3 linked regions of the Callithrix jacchus genome follow. The protein of the gene in region 3 interacts with the protein of the main gene of each other region in a biochemical or structural test. Links are inferred from orthologs where the notes say so. Each region holds a gene or a part of one and is shown on either strand. Other genes may lie near its edges.

The links.
Region 1: the proteins of PIAS3 (region 3) and MITF form a complex in vitro, tested with the Homo sapiens proteins (2 studies listed by BioGRID). The link is inferred for Callithrix jacchus from reciprocal best matches to the Homo sapiens genes PIAS3 and MITF.
Region 2: the proteins of PIAS3 (region 3) and RELA form a complex in vitro, tested with the Homo sapiens proteins (2 studies listed by BioGRID, with this or other methods). The link is inferred for Callithrix jacchus from reciprocal best matches to the Homo sapiens genes PIAS3 and RELA.

What each region holds. Positions count from the first base shown.
Region 1 is NC_133516.1:51,562,026-51,566,132, reverse strand, and holds the start of MITF (microphthalmia-associated transcription factor), read right to left. Parts: upstream 2,811-4,107; 5' UTR 2,673-2,810; coding exon 2,569-2,672; intron 1,445-2,568; exon of another isoform or gene 1,346-1,444; intron 1-1,345. UniProt on the Homo sapiens protein: Transcription factor that acts as a master regulator of melanocyte survival and differentiation as well as melanosome biogenesis.
Region 2 is NC_133511.1:122,744,923-122,748,447, reverse strand, and holds part of RELA (transcription factor p65), read left to right. Parts: intron 1-2,066; coding exon 2,067-2,147; intron 2,148-2,242; coding exon 2,243-2,317; intron 2,318-2,466; coding exon of another isoform or gene 2,467-2,483; exon of another isoform or gene 2,484-2,695; intron 2,696-3,132; coding exon 3,133-3,525. UniProt on the Homo sapiens protein: NF-kappa-B is a pleiotropic transcription factor present in almost all cell types and is the endpoint of a series of signal transduction events that are initiated by a vast array of stimuli related to many biological processes such as inflammation, immunity, differentiation, cell growth, tumorigenesis and apoptosis.
Region 3 is NC_133519.1:8,291,587-8,295,795, forward strand, and holds the start of PIAS3 (E3 SUMO-protein ligase PIAS3), read right to left. Parts: upstream 2,818-4,209; 5' UTR 2,727-2,817; coding exon 2,703-2,726; intron 727-2,702; coding exon 309-726; intron 153-308; coding exon 68-152; intron 1-67. UniProt on the Homo sapiens protein: Functions as an E3-type small ubiquitin-like modifier (SUMO) ligase, stabilizing the interaction between UBE2I and the substrate, and as a SUMO-tethering factor.

The sequences.
Region 1 (4,107 bases), on a different chromosome or scaffold from region 3:
GGTAATGATCCCTTCCATTGTAACAATCACAAATGTCTCCAGACACTGTCAAATGACCTCAGGGGCAAAATCACCTCCTATTGAAAATCAGTTTTAACAGGAACATTGTAGCTACTATACTGAAAATTCACTAAATGTGGTTATTGCAGTTTAAAAGACTACTGCAATAATCCAGGCAAGAGCTGATGGTGGCTTGGACCAAAGTGGTAGCAGAGGAGTTGGTAAGAAGCAGGCAGATTCTGGACATATTTTCAACTCTAAGGGACAATCCAGAGAAGACAGTTGATAGGCAGAATGGCTACAGCAGTCTTAACATATCAATTTCAACTTTTTCCAATAAAGACTTATAAGAAATGAGGTGCCCCAGCAAAGACATAAGACAAAAAGCAATGAGAGAGGCCCAGAACAATGTGTAGCCCTTTTAAGTCACACAACAGATGTCGAGGACAATACCTTAGACAACTGTGGGAAACAGTACAGAGAAATGTCGCCAACTCCATATATTTATTCACAGAGTTTATTTAACTGGTTTATTTCAAAGAGCATGTGTGTGCTCCATATACAAGTTTTACAACAACTTTTTTTAATTTAGCCTTCCTTTCCCTGCTGGTTCAGGCCTACACCTGTTTCTAGCATTAACGTGTGAAGCCATTTCTTCCCACATACCCACAATTTTCCTGACACGTGCCTGCTAGCCAACTACTGAGGATGTTCACCCTTGCAAGTCATTTTTTGCTGACTCTGAAAAAGAACAGGCCCAAATCGTTCAACATGAGTTTCACGGCACTCATTTGGGTTTTTCCAGATGGTATTTTCCTCGCTCTCTCAAACTGATTTAATGTTATGTATCAGCCACCATCAGAAATGTTCCAAACAGTCCAGTTAATTCATTTCTTTCAGGATTCCACACACACACACTCATTCCCTCATTCTGGCCATGTAAGCATTTGCTTATAGAAGCAGAAGCAGAGACTGCCCAGTAAAACACTGGTCCCTTCAGCCGAATGCAGATAAAGCCCTGATGAGCATAACCAACAATACCCTTCACACAATATTACCCAAAACCCCCAGCCCCCAACACACACAATCTATGCTCACACACAAAACGGCCATTATGAGGAAAAACCACCAACTAAAGGCTGGTTTTATAGGTCAAACTGCTTAGGCGGTCTCCTTCCAATCTGCCGTGAAGCATCTACAAAGAGGCTTCTTCAGCAGTGGCAGTCAGTGGGTCCGCTGTTCCCAGATTTTCTTTCCCAAGTGGGATGAAGAGTCCTGCCACAGCCCTGAAGGAAATAAACCTGGTTGCACTTTCCGCTAGAAAAGGAACCAGCCCAGTGCTCACCAGAGGCCAAGATTACACCACCTGGCTCTTCATTCGGTTGCCCTTCTTCACTCACCCTCATTTCAGGACCTTCTCCCACTCTGCCAGCCAGGCCCATTCACCCAGGCCCCACCCACAGCGAAGGGCAGGGCAGGAAGGTACAGCCGGGTGCAGAAGTCCTGCTGGATGCTTCCAATGATAGCCTTATCCTAGCTCACAGCTTAGCAGGATGGAAATAAACCCTTCTCTGCTATTCCAACCTCCACTGACCATGTCCCTTTTAGTAAACACTGTAAATGAGAAGTGCGACGAGTCCAGAGTGGCCGCCGGACAGAGAGAACGGAAGATACCCAATACATTTTGACAGACAAGTGACAATGGAGGCAGCAAAAAAGCTGGCGCAAAGGAAGTGGGCAGTAGAAGAGATGGGGCGTCGGAGCAGTGGATGTCTTTACTCCTCTCCTAAAAAGTTTTTGAAGACCCCAGCGAATTAAACACGTGTCTCTGTCAAGCAAGGTACAGTCCCAGTATCCCCCAAGACCAAGGCTCATTTCCCCTCTTCAGGGAAGGCCTGGTTTTGAATGCGACTCTATTTACAGGGAGTTTAACCTGGACTAGGGGACACACCCACCGCTGCACTCGCCCCTCCCGCGCCCGCGTGGAGCGGTCTGGAGGTGAGAGGCGGAGCCCAGAGAACCCTCACCTGCAAGCGGCCAAGGGCCGATTTCCCCACAGGGACTGGACTCCCAAGAGGTGACTACAATCAAACTAACTGCTTCCCTCCAATATTGCATCTCAATCCATCCAAAGCTCTCCCTGTCCACGCCCTCAACCCGCTGGGATCTTCACAAAGGGGGTTCACTAGAACTCTTTCTCTCCCGTCTCGTCGGGACAGCAGCGTCCCGGCCAGGCGCTCCTCCTCCCCCACAGCGCGCCAGGTCGCTCCCCAGCCCCCACTCAGTCTCAGCAGCTGGCATCCCCTGCCGAGGGTCCCCGAGCCGGGACGCTCCGCCCCCGGCTACCGCAGCGCCCCCCGAAGTGCGCTCCAACCGAGCCTCCTAGAAGCGCACTTGGGCCGGGCGAGCGCGGCCCCCAACTGCGAGGGGCAGTTCGCCCTCCGCCCCGGGGCAAGGGCACTGGGTCCTTGTCCCAGAGCTCCCACGATCCGCTCTCCTCGCCCCGGAGTGGCAGACGCAGCGCCCCCCAGCCGCCCGTCGCGCCTCTGCCCAGCTGTCACCACTCACCTGCTCTTCAGAGGTTGACTTTTGAGTTCGTAATAGGTTTTGGGCTCTTCATGAAACTCCTCTCCTACTTCGAAATCCGGCACTATCCCCGATTCCGACTGCATGGCTCCCGCTTCCCGTCCTTCCACAGCTCAAAAGTGAGAACAGAGCCCGGGGGCGGAGGCAAGGTAGCTGGGCCTGGGTCCCCCGAGTCGTGCGCCCCCGCGCAGTGCAGAGCTCTGCCCGCTCGCCGGCTCGCGGCCGCCCGCCAACGAGCGGGGAGTTTACACTGGCACCCGGGAGGGAGGGGCCGACGGCCGAGCGCCGCCTGGGATCTGTAGTTCGATCCGGGCGGGGTATTCCCGGCTGGCCTGGGGAGTCACTCCCACAAAAACTACAACTCCCAGAAGGCCAGACGGGGGAGAAGCAACGTGGTGGACACCGCTAGAGCAACTCCTGTTTGGATTCATTTTCAATGTCAGCAGCTCCTCTCCCTCCTCTCTCCCCACTTGCTTCAAGGGTACAGACTTGGCTATTTAATATGAATAAGAACGGACACAGCCTGCTCTCCTACCGTCACCCCCACCTCTCAGCTCAGACATCTGCGAGGGCACGCCGTATGCTTATTTAAAAAATAAGATAGTGAAGGGTTTTGGCACTAGAAAGTTTTAGTATTCGAGCCTGTCTTAAAATAAAAAGACTTCCTATCAGCCCGCATGCTTCCCTGGGCTGCTGCGACGTATCAACTTGTCCTCGGATTGGAACAACGAGGAAGAACTTTCCTTCGCTTTGTAATGAAAACGTTATTGGAGAAATTGTTCTTGTGCGTTCCTTTTCTAGAACTAAGTCTGGACTTCTACAATACGGTTCATCAGTTAAATGACCCTTTCCTCCCCTTTATCCAAGTAGCCACTTCTAATCTAAAGCAGCAATTGAAAGATCGGTTAATTTTAAAAGGCACAAACTTACAGAACAGTGTTGTCGCTCTCTGCTTTTAATTTCCCAGTTGACTAGGAGTTCAAATGAGATTGTCCTAATATTTCAGGAGTGAAGATGTGCAAGTGAACTGTAAAAGTGTCAACCCCTTATCGAGCTTCCTGGCACTCACTTAGGGAAGAGAATTTTATAAACTCTCCTTTGTGGCTCATTTGTACTTCTAGTCCTTCCCTCTGATTAGTTCCAGTAAATAGATTGTGTTTCTTCTTTTTAAAAGTGTTTTGAGGCATCAGGAAGGCAGTATAGAGTTACGGTGGCATTTAAAGGTATAAGACTCAGAGTTCAAATTGCTGGTGCTTCTAAGAAGAGCTGTGCAATCCTTAGCATGTCACTTGGTTCCTAGAAGCCTCCATTTCTTCATCCATAAAAGAAGAGATTGGCAAACCAGTTTTAGAAGATGTTGCAAGGGCAAATGTAAGAGAAAGTCATTTGCAATCTATAAAACCCTGTTCAGTCTTCGTTCTTTATTAGGTCTTGAAGTTATTCCTTTCAGATTAGCATCTCATCTTGGTGTTTGGCCTTTTAGATTTAATAAACTAAATGACTATCCAAGGAGAAAACTCT
Region 2 (3,525 bases), on a different chromosome or scaffold from region 3:
AGGCCGGGTGTGGTGGCTCAAGCCTGTAATCCCAGCACTTTGGGAGGCCGAGGCAGGTGGATCACAAGGTTGAGAGATCGAGACTATCCTGGTCAACATGGTGAAACGCCGTCTCTACTAAAAATACAAAAAATTAGCTGGGCACGGTGGTGCGTGCCTGTAATCCCAGCTACTCAGGAGGCTGAGGCAGGAGAATTGCCTGAACCCAGGAGGCGGAGGTTGCAGTGAGCCGAGATCGCGCCATTGCACTCCAGCCTGGGTAACAAGAGTGAAACTCTGTCTCAAAAAAAAAAAAAAAGAGAGAGAGATTTTCTGGTTTGTATACATGGTTGTGTCCCTATCACTCTTTCACTAGGATGCCAACTTTTTGGGAGCAGACACCTTGTGTGCTTACTCATGGCCACATCCCCAGTGTCTAGAAGGGAGGCTGGCACATAGTAGGTGCTTGATAAATATGTGTCAAGTTAGTGGTGGGGAGTGAGAAAAAAAGATAGTCATTCCAAGGTTTCTAGCTTTGGTGACAGGGCAGATAGATGGTCAGGGAATATAGGAGAAAGAACCCAGTTTTTGAGGGATGATGAAATTGTCTTTGAATTAATGGAATTGAGGTGCTTTGGTGCTACTGAAGTACCATGGTACTTAGGAAAACAGTTCTGAGGCTGGGCATGGTGGCCAGCACTTTGGGAGGCCGAGAAGGATGAATCATGAGGTCAGGAGTTCAAGAACAGCCTGGCCAAGATGGTGAAACCCCATCTCTACTAAAAATACAAAAATTACTAAAAATAAATAAATAATACAAAAATTAGCTGGGCATGGTAGCACACACCTGTAATCCCAGCTACCCAGGAGGCTGAGCCAGAGAACTGCTTAAACCTGGGAGGAGTAGATTGCAGTGGGCCAAGATTGTGCCACTGCAGTCCAGCCTGGGCGACGGAGCGAGACTCGGTTTCAAAAAAAAAAAGAGAAGAAAAACAGTTCAGAAAGCTCCAACTAAATTATCAAACCATTAGAGGTAAGAATAAGAGTCTTGGAGAGAGATCCAAGATGGCTGATTACTAGCAGCTCAGGCATGTAGCTCCCAGTGAAAGTGCAGAGAACGAGAGGACACCACACTTTCAGACGAATTTTTGTTGCTCACGGACCAGGAGATTCCCAGCGGAGGAGCCCCACAAGTCACCAGCACGACTCTTGTGGCTGGCGCGGTGGTTTTGCCGGCGCCCCGGCACAGTGGTTCTTGGTGCAGAGTAAACAGGACTGGGTCCCCTTTTGGTCGACGTTTGGAGCTCCGGGAAGGCAGAGTCGCCTATTCAGCTGATTGAAAAAGGGACTCAAGAAGGAAGCCAGACCGGAGATTCCCGGGCAGAAAAGCACCACAAATCTTAACACCTTAGCCAGCGCAGTGGGTTGCTCAGATTCCGGCGCTGGGAATCAACAAGTTGGATGTCCACTCAGAGACCTAATTTGAAAGTCGGTTATTACAAAGACGACAGGTGGATAAATTTACAATGATGGGAAATTCCTTCCTGAAATTCTGCACTGTTAAGCACCATTATCGGCATGAAAGAGGTTTTTAATACCTACTTTTAGATTGCATTCCAGCCTGGGCAATAGAGCAAGACTCCTGTTCTCTCTCCCCCTTTCTCTTTATCTTTCTTTCTTTTAAAAAAAAAGTCTCTGCTGAAGTCATAAATCCTAAGTTGTGCCTCAGCTGCCTCAGAATGCCAAGAAATTGTCACCAGGCCTGGCTGGAGGCTTGCAGTAAGCCATGACATGAGCAATGCAGGAAGGCATGAGCTGGAAGCTGGTACCCCCCAGGGCTCCTCTTTCCCCAGAGCATGGCCCCTGTACTTGGCCTCACCATGTGGCCTTAGAGGGGCAGATTCAGCCAACAGAGGCCTTTTCCAAAAGCCGTGGGATTCTCAGAACAGCTGAGTGTCACACATCCCTTCTCATTGTCAAAGACAGGTTTTGGGAAAGCCCTGCTCCTTGTTTTTCTCGGGGGCCTTTGAGAGCACTGGGGGCCCACCTGAAGTGAGTGCGCCCCCTTCTCCCCCTTACTTTCCCAGATGATCGCCACCGGATTGAGGAGAAACGCAAAAGGACATATGAGACCTTCAAGAGTATCATGAAGAAGAGTCCTTTCAATGGTGAGAGGAGACCGGGAAGGCCAGAGAGGAAGGCGGGGGGGGGGCAGGGAGGGGACACCCCAGGGCTGAGAACTGACCCAGCCCTTGCCCTACAGGACCCACTGACCCCCGGCCTCCACCCCGGCGCATTGCTGTGCCTTCGCGCAGTTCAGCTTCCATCCCCAAGCCAGGTAAGGATTTCCTTTTGTCCCACTGGAGCGACAGGTTCAGCTCTATTCAGCCCATGGCTGAAATGCCTTCTGGAAGGGAGATGAGCAGAGGAACTGACCTGAGCAACAGATGTCTGAAGCCAGCTCTCCTTTGGGCCTATGTTTCTCAGGGGGTGGGGTCTGGTGACCTCCGTCAGAGTCACCTGAGAAGCAGTGGAGATGCAGATTCCTGGGCCCTATACAGACCTACTGAATCGGAGGCTTTGGGAGGATGGTGCAGGAATCAGCGGCTTCCCGGGATGCTAATGCACACCGAAGCCTGGGAACCACAGTGCCACTTACATCCTATATTGGACATCTTGGGATTCAGAAGTTAAAAATACAGAATCTCTGCTCTCACCTCTCAGTTGAATTAGTGGGAAAAATCACCTCTAAATTAGCAAGATGTATATGCTGGTGTGGGGCTCAAAAAAGACTGATGAACTGTCCACTTAAAGCCACTACTCACTTGGTGCTCCATGGGCTTGTTGCCTCTTGGGACTTGGTTTTTCAGCTGTAAACTGAGGAGACTAGCTTATCCCTCAAAGTGTCCCTTCCTCTAAAAGGCTGGGAGAGCTTCATGGGCTTGAATAGTCAGGGAGGACTCCAGGATGGAGATGTGGCTAGAACTGGACCCTACAGGCGGGGTCAGATTGGGTAAGAGGAAGGAGGTAGGGTATTGGCAGTGACTCCCTAGAAAGATTGAGCCTAAGCATCATCAAGAGGGGCTGGAGTATAGAGGATGGGTTGGATCTCTGGGGCGTTCTCTGACCCTTGCCTCTCTGTCTCTCCTCCAGCCCCTCAGCCCTATCCCTTTTCGCCATCCCTGAGCACCATCAACTATGATGAGTTTCCCACCATGGTGTTTCCTTCTGAGCAGATAAGCCAGGCCTCAGCCTTGGCCCTAGCCCCTCCCCAAGTCCTGCCGCAAGCTCCAGCCCCAGCCCCTGCCCCTGCCCCTGCCCCTGCCCCACCCATGGTACCAGCTCTGGCCCAGGCCCCAGCCCCTGGCCCAGTCCTAGCCCCAGGCCCTCCTCATGCTATGGCCCCACCTGCCCCCAAGCCCACGCAGGCTGGGGAAGGAACACTATCAGAGGCCCTGCTGCAGCTGCAGTTTGATGATGAAGACCTGGGGGCCTTGCTTGGCAACAGCACAGATCCAGCTGTGTTCACAGACCTGGCATCCGTCG
Region 3 (4,209 bases):
AAAGTGAGAAAGGAGAGCCCAGGGGTAACCCTCCAGGGATGAGGCAGGAAGACTGAAAGAAATGTACCTGGATGTAAGAATCTGCTGCACTTGCTGGGGTGTGAGGGCAAAGGTAAAGTGTGCTTCCTCAAACCGCTGGCTGGAAGTGGATGCTGAGGACACAAAATGGCAGTTATTCCAAGCCCATGCACAGGCAGCCACAGAAATCACCCCCATCCATGCCGCCAATCCCACAGTACTAAAGCCTCTGAAATGTTTGGGGAACAGCCATGGAGTCCAGAAGACTAAGGGACCACAAAGAGCCATACCAAGGGTGGTGGGCCGGATGAGCTCCCCGTAGACCTCATAGAAGGGCAATGGTTTCATGGTGACATCAGGGTGCACAGGCTGGGGCAGAGGGGGGTGCATGTCCACCTCACGCTTGGGGCCCAGCAGGGTGCCAGGGGCCAACAGGGTTGGGGGAATGGGAGCTAGAGGGCCAGGGGAGCCTACAGGAGAGGTGCCAGGGGGCAAAGAGAGCAGGGAGAGATCAGAGGGCCCCAGGGCCTTCCGGGGAAAGCGACGTCGGTAAAGCTCTTTGATCTTCATCTGGACACTAGGGGCACAGCTGGACTTCAGGAGGTGCAGGGCCTTGGCCAGGAGCTCGTGCTTCCGTCCACTCTTGTTCCGGCCAGCAAAGCCAAGAAGCACCTGGAGCTCAGACACCCGGAAACTCATCACCATGTGCTGTGGAGAAGAACACAGGAGCCTGAGAATCCTACCTCGCACAGGCCTGTCCTGCCAAGACATGGGCTGAGCTACCAGTTGGGCAGTGCCTTTTTCCCTCCACCTTCCCTGATGGGGAAGATGATGCTTTAAGCTAGTGGATTACTGCCAGGTGGTCGACCTATCCAAAGGGACATCTCAGCCCCACTTTAGCAACCCAAAGGTCAGCAGATCACCACCCGCCAGAGCTTGAACAACACTATCTTCCCAGGCCTGCAAGCAGCCAGAGTGGGGCAGGGAATGCAGACAAGAAGCCATCCTCAGGCACACCTCCGAGTCCACTGCAGCATCCCACCACCATCCCTGCCTCTAGTCTGGACTGTCCTTTAAGCTGCTTATCTTCTCTCTTGCCCTTTCTCAGACTCTCAAACCCATCCCAGCCTCCTGGGAAGAGGACAGGAGACAGGGAGAACCAGGGAGAGGAGACAATTCACGCCAGACTCACCCATGGGGAAGAAAGGGGCCAGGTGGCTGGAGGATTGTGCCCTTCAGCCCACCCCCCAATCACCTTAATTTGCCTAGGCTATTTCCCCCAAGCCTCTGAAGCTTTTGTGGCCAGGATTTTCAGGTCAGGGTTCAATGCTCATAACTCCCCCAGATCCTTTCTTGGAATCATTTATATAACCGCCCCTTCTGTGAGACTTAGTCCTATTTTTCTGGAAGGGAAACAGGACCAAAACTTGGGTCTGGGGGTGGGGGGCTGTTAACAGTAAACCGCTGAGTCCAGGTATCCTGCCTGATAACTCTCTGTCTGTCAGGAACCATTATCCCGCTTCTCTCCTACATAGAGAAAGTAACACCCCGCTACAACCTACAGCCCCCCTGTAGGAGTGGAAGAGGAGAGGGCAGAGCTCTAAACAGAGGCCCTGGCTGGCTGAAGAAAAAGCCTCTGAGTCAGGGCACAGAATCGCAAATTCTCTGAAGGTAACTGGGCCCAGTGGCTAGACCTCCAGCCTGCCCAGGACCATAGCTTCATTGCAAAGGGCAGAAGAAGCAAGCCAGGAGGCAGGGGGATGAAGCCAGTGGTTTAAGGTTTTATCAGATGTCCTCACACGTGGTCATCCTCAAAACTCTGTGAGGCAGAAGGGGAGCGCTCTCCTTAGGGGACTCCCTTCTGTGAATCTCCAGGAGGTCATGTCGTGGGCAGGGCATGCTGGTCCTACACAATTCTTCTCATAGGAGGCTTTGTCTTGGGCCCCTTTTGTGGAACGTGATGAGAAACTTGCTCCTCTTTCTCCCCATCCTTATCTCCTCGGTCCTGTCTTTTTTTCCCCATTAGCTTTCCCTGTAACTTCCCTCCTTTCTATCCCACAGTTTCACGTGCCTCTGCCGCCGCCCAAACACCGCGATTCACTAAGGCAGCACCTTCCTCCGCGCCTCCAGGATGCTTCTGCCCCACCCCTCGGTGTCGGCCCGCACAGCCCCGCCCCCTACATCTCAGCCGCCTACTGGTATTTCCCAAAGCTCGGATCCCGAGAGCACCCCCAAAGCCCCTATCCTCTCGGCTGCCTTTCCCTCGGAGCCCCCCCCACATCTGCCCCACGGTCCCATCCTTGCATCTGCCCCCTGCTGTCGCATCTCTCGGCCTCGATGGACTCGCCCGGATGCCTCTACAGCAGCTTTTCCCCCTGGCCCTACCCCAACAACTGCCCCTGCTACTAAATCCGCCTGCTGCCCCTCGTCCCCGCCCCCTGCGCCTCAGCCCCCAGCAGCTGCAATTCCCCTCGGCCCCACCCCTACATCTGCCCCGCAGCCCCGCCCCCGGAGCCCGCCGCAGCCCCTTCCTCGCTCGCAGCCACTTCTCTCCCATCCTCAGCCGCCCGCCCCTGCCACGTCGCCGGCGCCCACCCGAGCCCCGGCACCCAGTCCCGGTCGCTTCCCGGACACGGCGCACCGCCGGGCTCAGGCCAGATGGGGGTGGGGGAGGGGGCCGGTACCTTTAATTCGCCCAGCTCCGCCATCTTGAGACATCGCAGGCGCCCCAGCCGGAGCCGGAGCTCAGGCCCAGGGACCGGCGCACAACTCTCCACCCCGGCGCCGGCCGCAAATGCCGCCTGCTCCGCCCCGTCCGGCCCCCTACACCTCCCCTTCCCGGCCCCGCCCGCCGGGCTTCGGACTAGCCCCAGCCTGAGCCCCTCCCTCCACAGCGGACCCAGCGGCTACACGTCTGCGGCGGGTTGGCAGGACGGGTGGCCTCCGAGGCAGCGTAAGGCCCCGAAGATCGCGGGGTCCCCGAAGGCAACGGAGAAGGAGGCGGGCCCGAAGTGCCCGGTGGAGGGTGGCTTTGCCACAGCAGAGTTGGGAGGGGACGAGCTTTTAGGGAGCCAAAGATCCTTGAAAGATGGAGGGAAAGTATCCGGAACTGCTAGACCTGAGAGAAATGGGGGAGGGGGCAGCGAAGTTGGAGCGCAAACCCTCGTCTCCAGCTCTACGTAAAGTTTAAGCAACTACGATCCAGAGTTCTTCCAGCCCGGGAAGTCAGCGAGCGCCGATCCGTCGTGGGGAAGCCGTGGAGTCGGCATTCGGTTCAAGACGGCCACGCTCAGTTGTTCCCACTCCTCCTCCCCCACACACCAACCACAATGCAGCTCGCGGTCCCATCGCAGGACCTCAGCTCCGCAGCGGAAAAGTTTGGTGCGGGGAGCGGGACTTACCAGCACAGCTGGGGGGAATGGAGAGAGGGCTCGGGAGGCTCAGAGGGCGGGCTGGAGAGGTGGGGGCAAGGGGCTCCGCGCCGCTGCTGCTGTCCGCTCGGCAGAAGTTCGGTCCGGAGCCGGACGCAGCGGCCGCGGCTCCGCCCGGGCCGGAGCTCCGCCCGGCCTAGCACTCGGGCTGGGGCCGCCCCCTCCAAGGGAAGCCCGCCAGGACCGCGGAGAGGGGAGCGGGGCGGAGCTCGGGTGAGAGAGGGAGGGACTCAGAGCCTGGCTCTGGAGCGATTAACTCCTGGTGTGAGTGGATCTGGAGAAAAGAGATTCTTGGATCCCATCATTCTCACTCCCTCTGTGACCCCTCACGCTAATGTATGGGATTGGGGTGGTGGGATGCTGCTGTTACGGCGGTGTGATCCAGGTGTCTGACCGTATAAAGCAGTCTTCCTTCAAAAGACAACTGTCCCTTCCTAGGGCAAAGCCTGGGCCGGTGAATCCAAAGCGTATCTAGCAGTAAGTACTGCAGATACACATGCACAATACCTCCACCAGAGTCCCCATACCCTTGGTGTAGCTGAAGGTGAATACTTACCCACGAAAGGGATCTTTCTGACCCTCTCTGAACTACCTACCCACTCTCCTTCCTCCAAAGCCTTGGACCCTCCAGAGGCCCCAAACCAACCAAGCTGATCACTCATATGCAGGCCCCAGATTAAATGTGTTTCTGGGCCAGGCGCGGTGGCTCACGCCTGTAATCCCAGCACTTTGGGAGGCTGAGACGGGTGGATCACCTGAG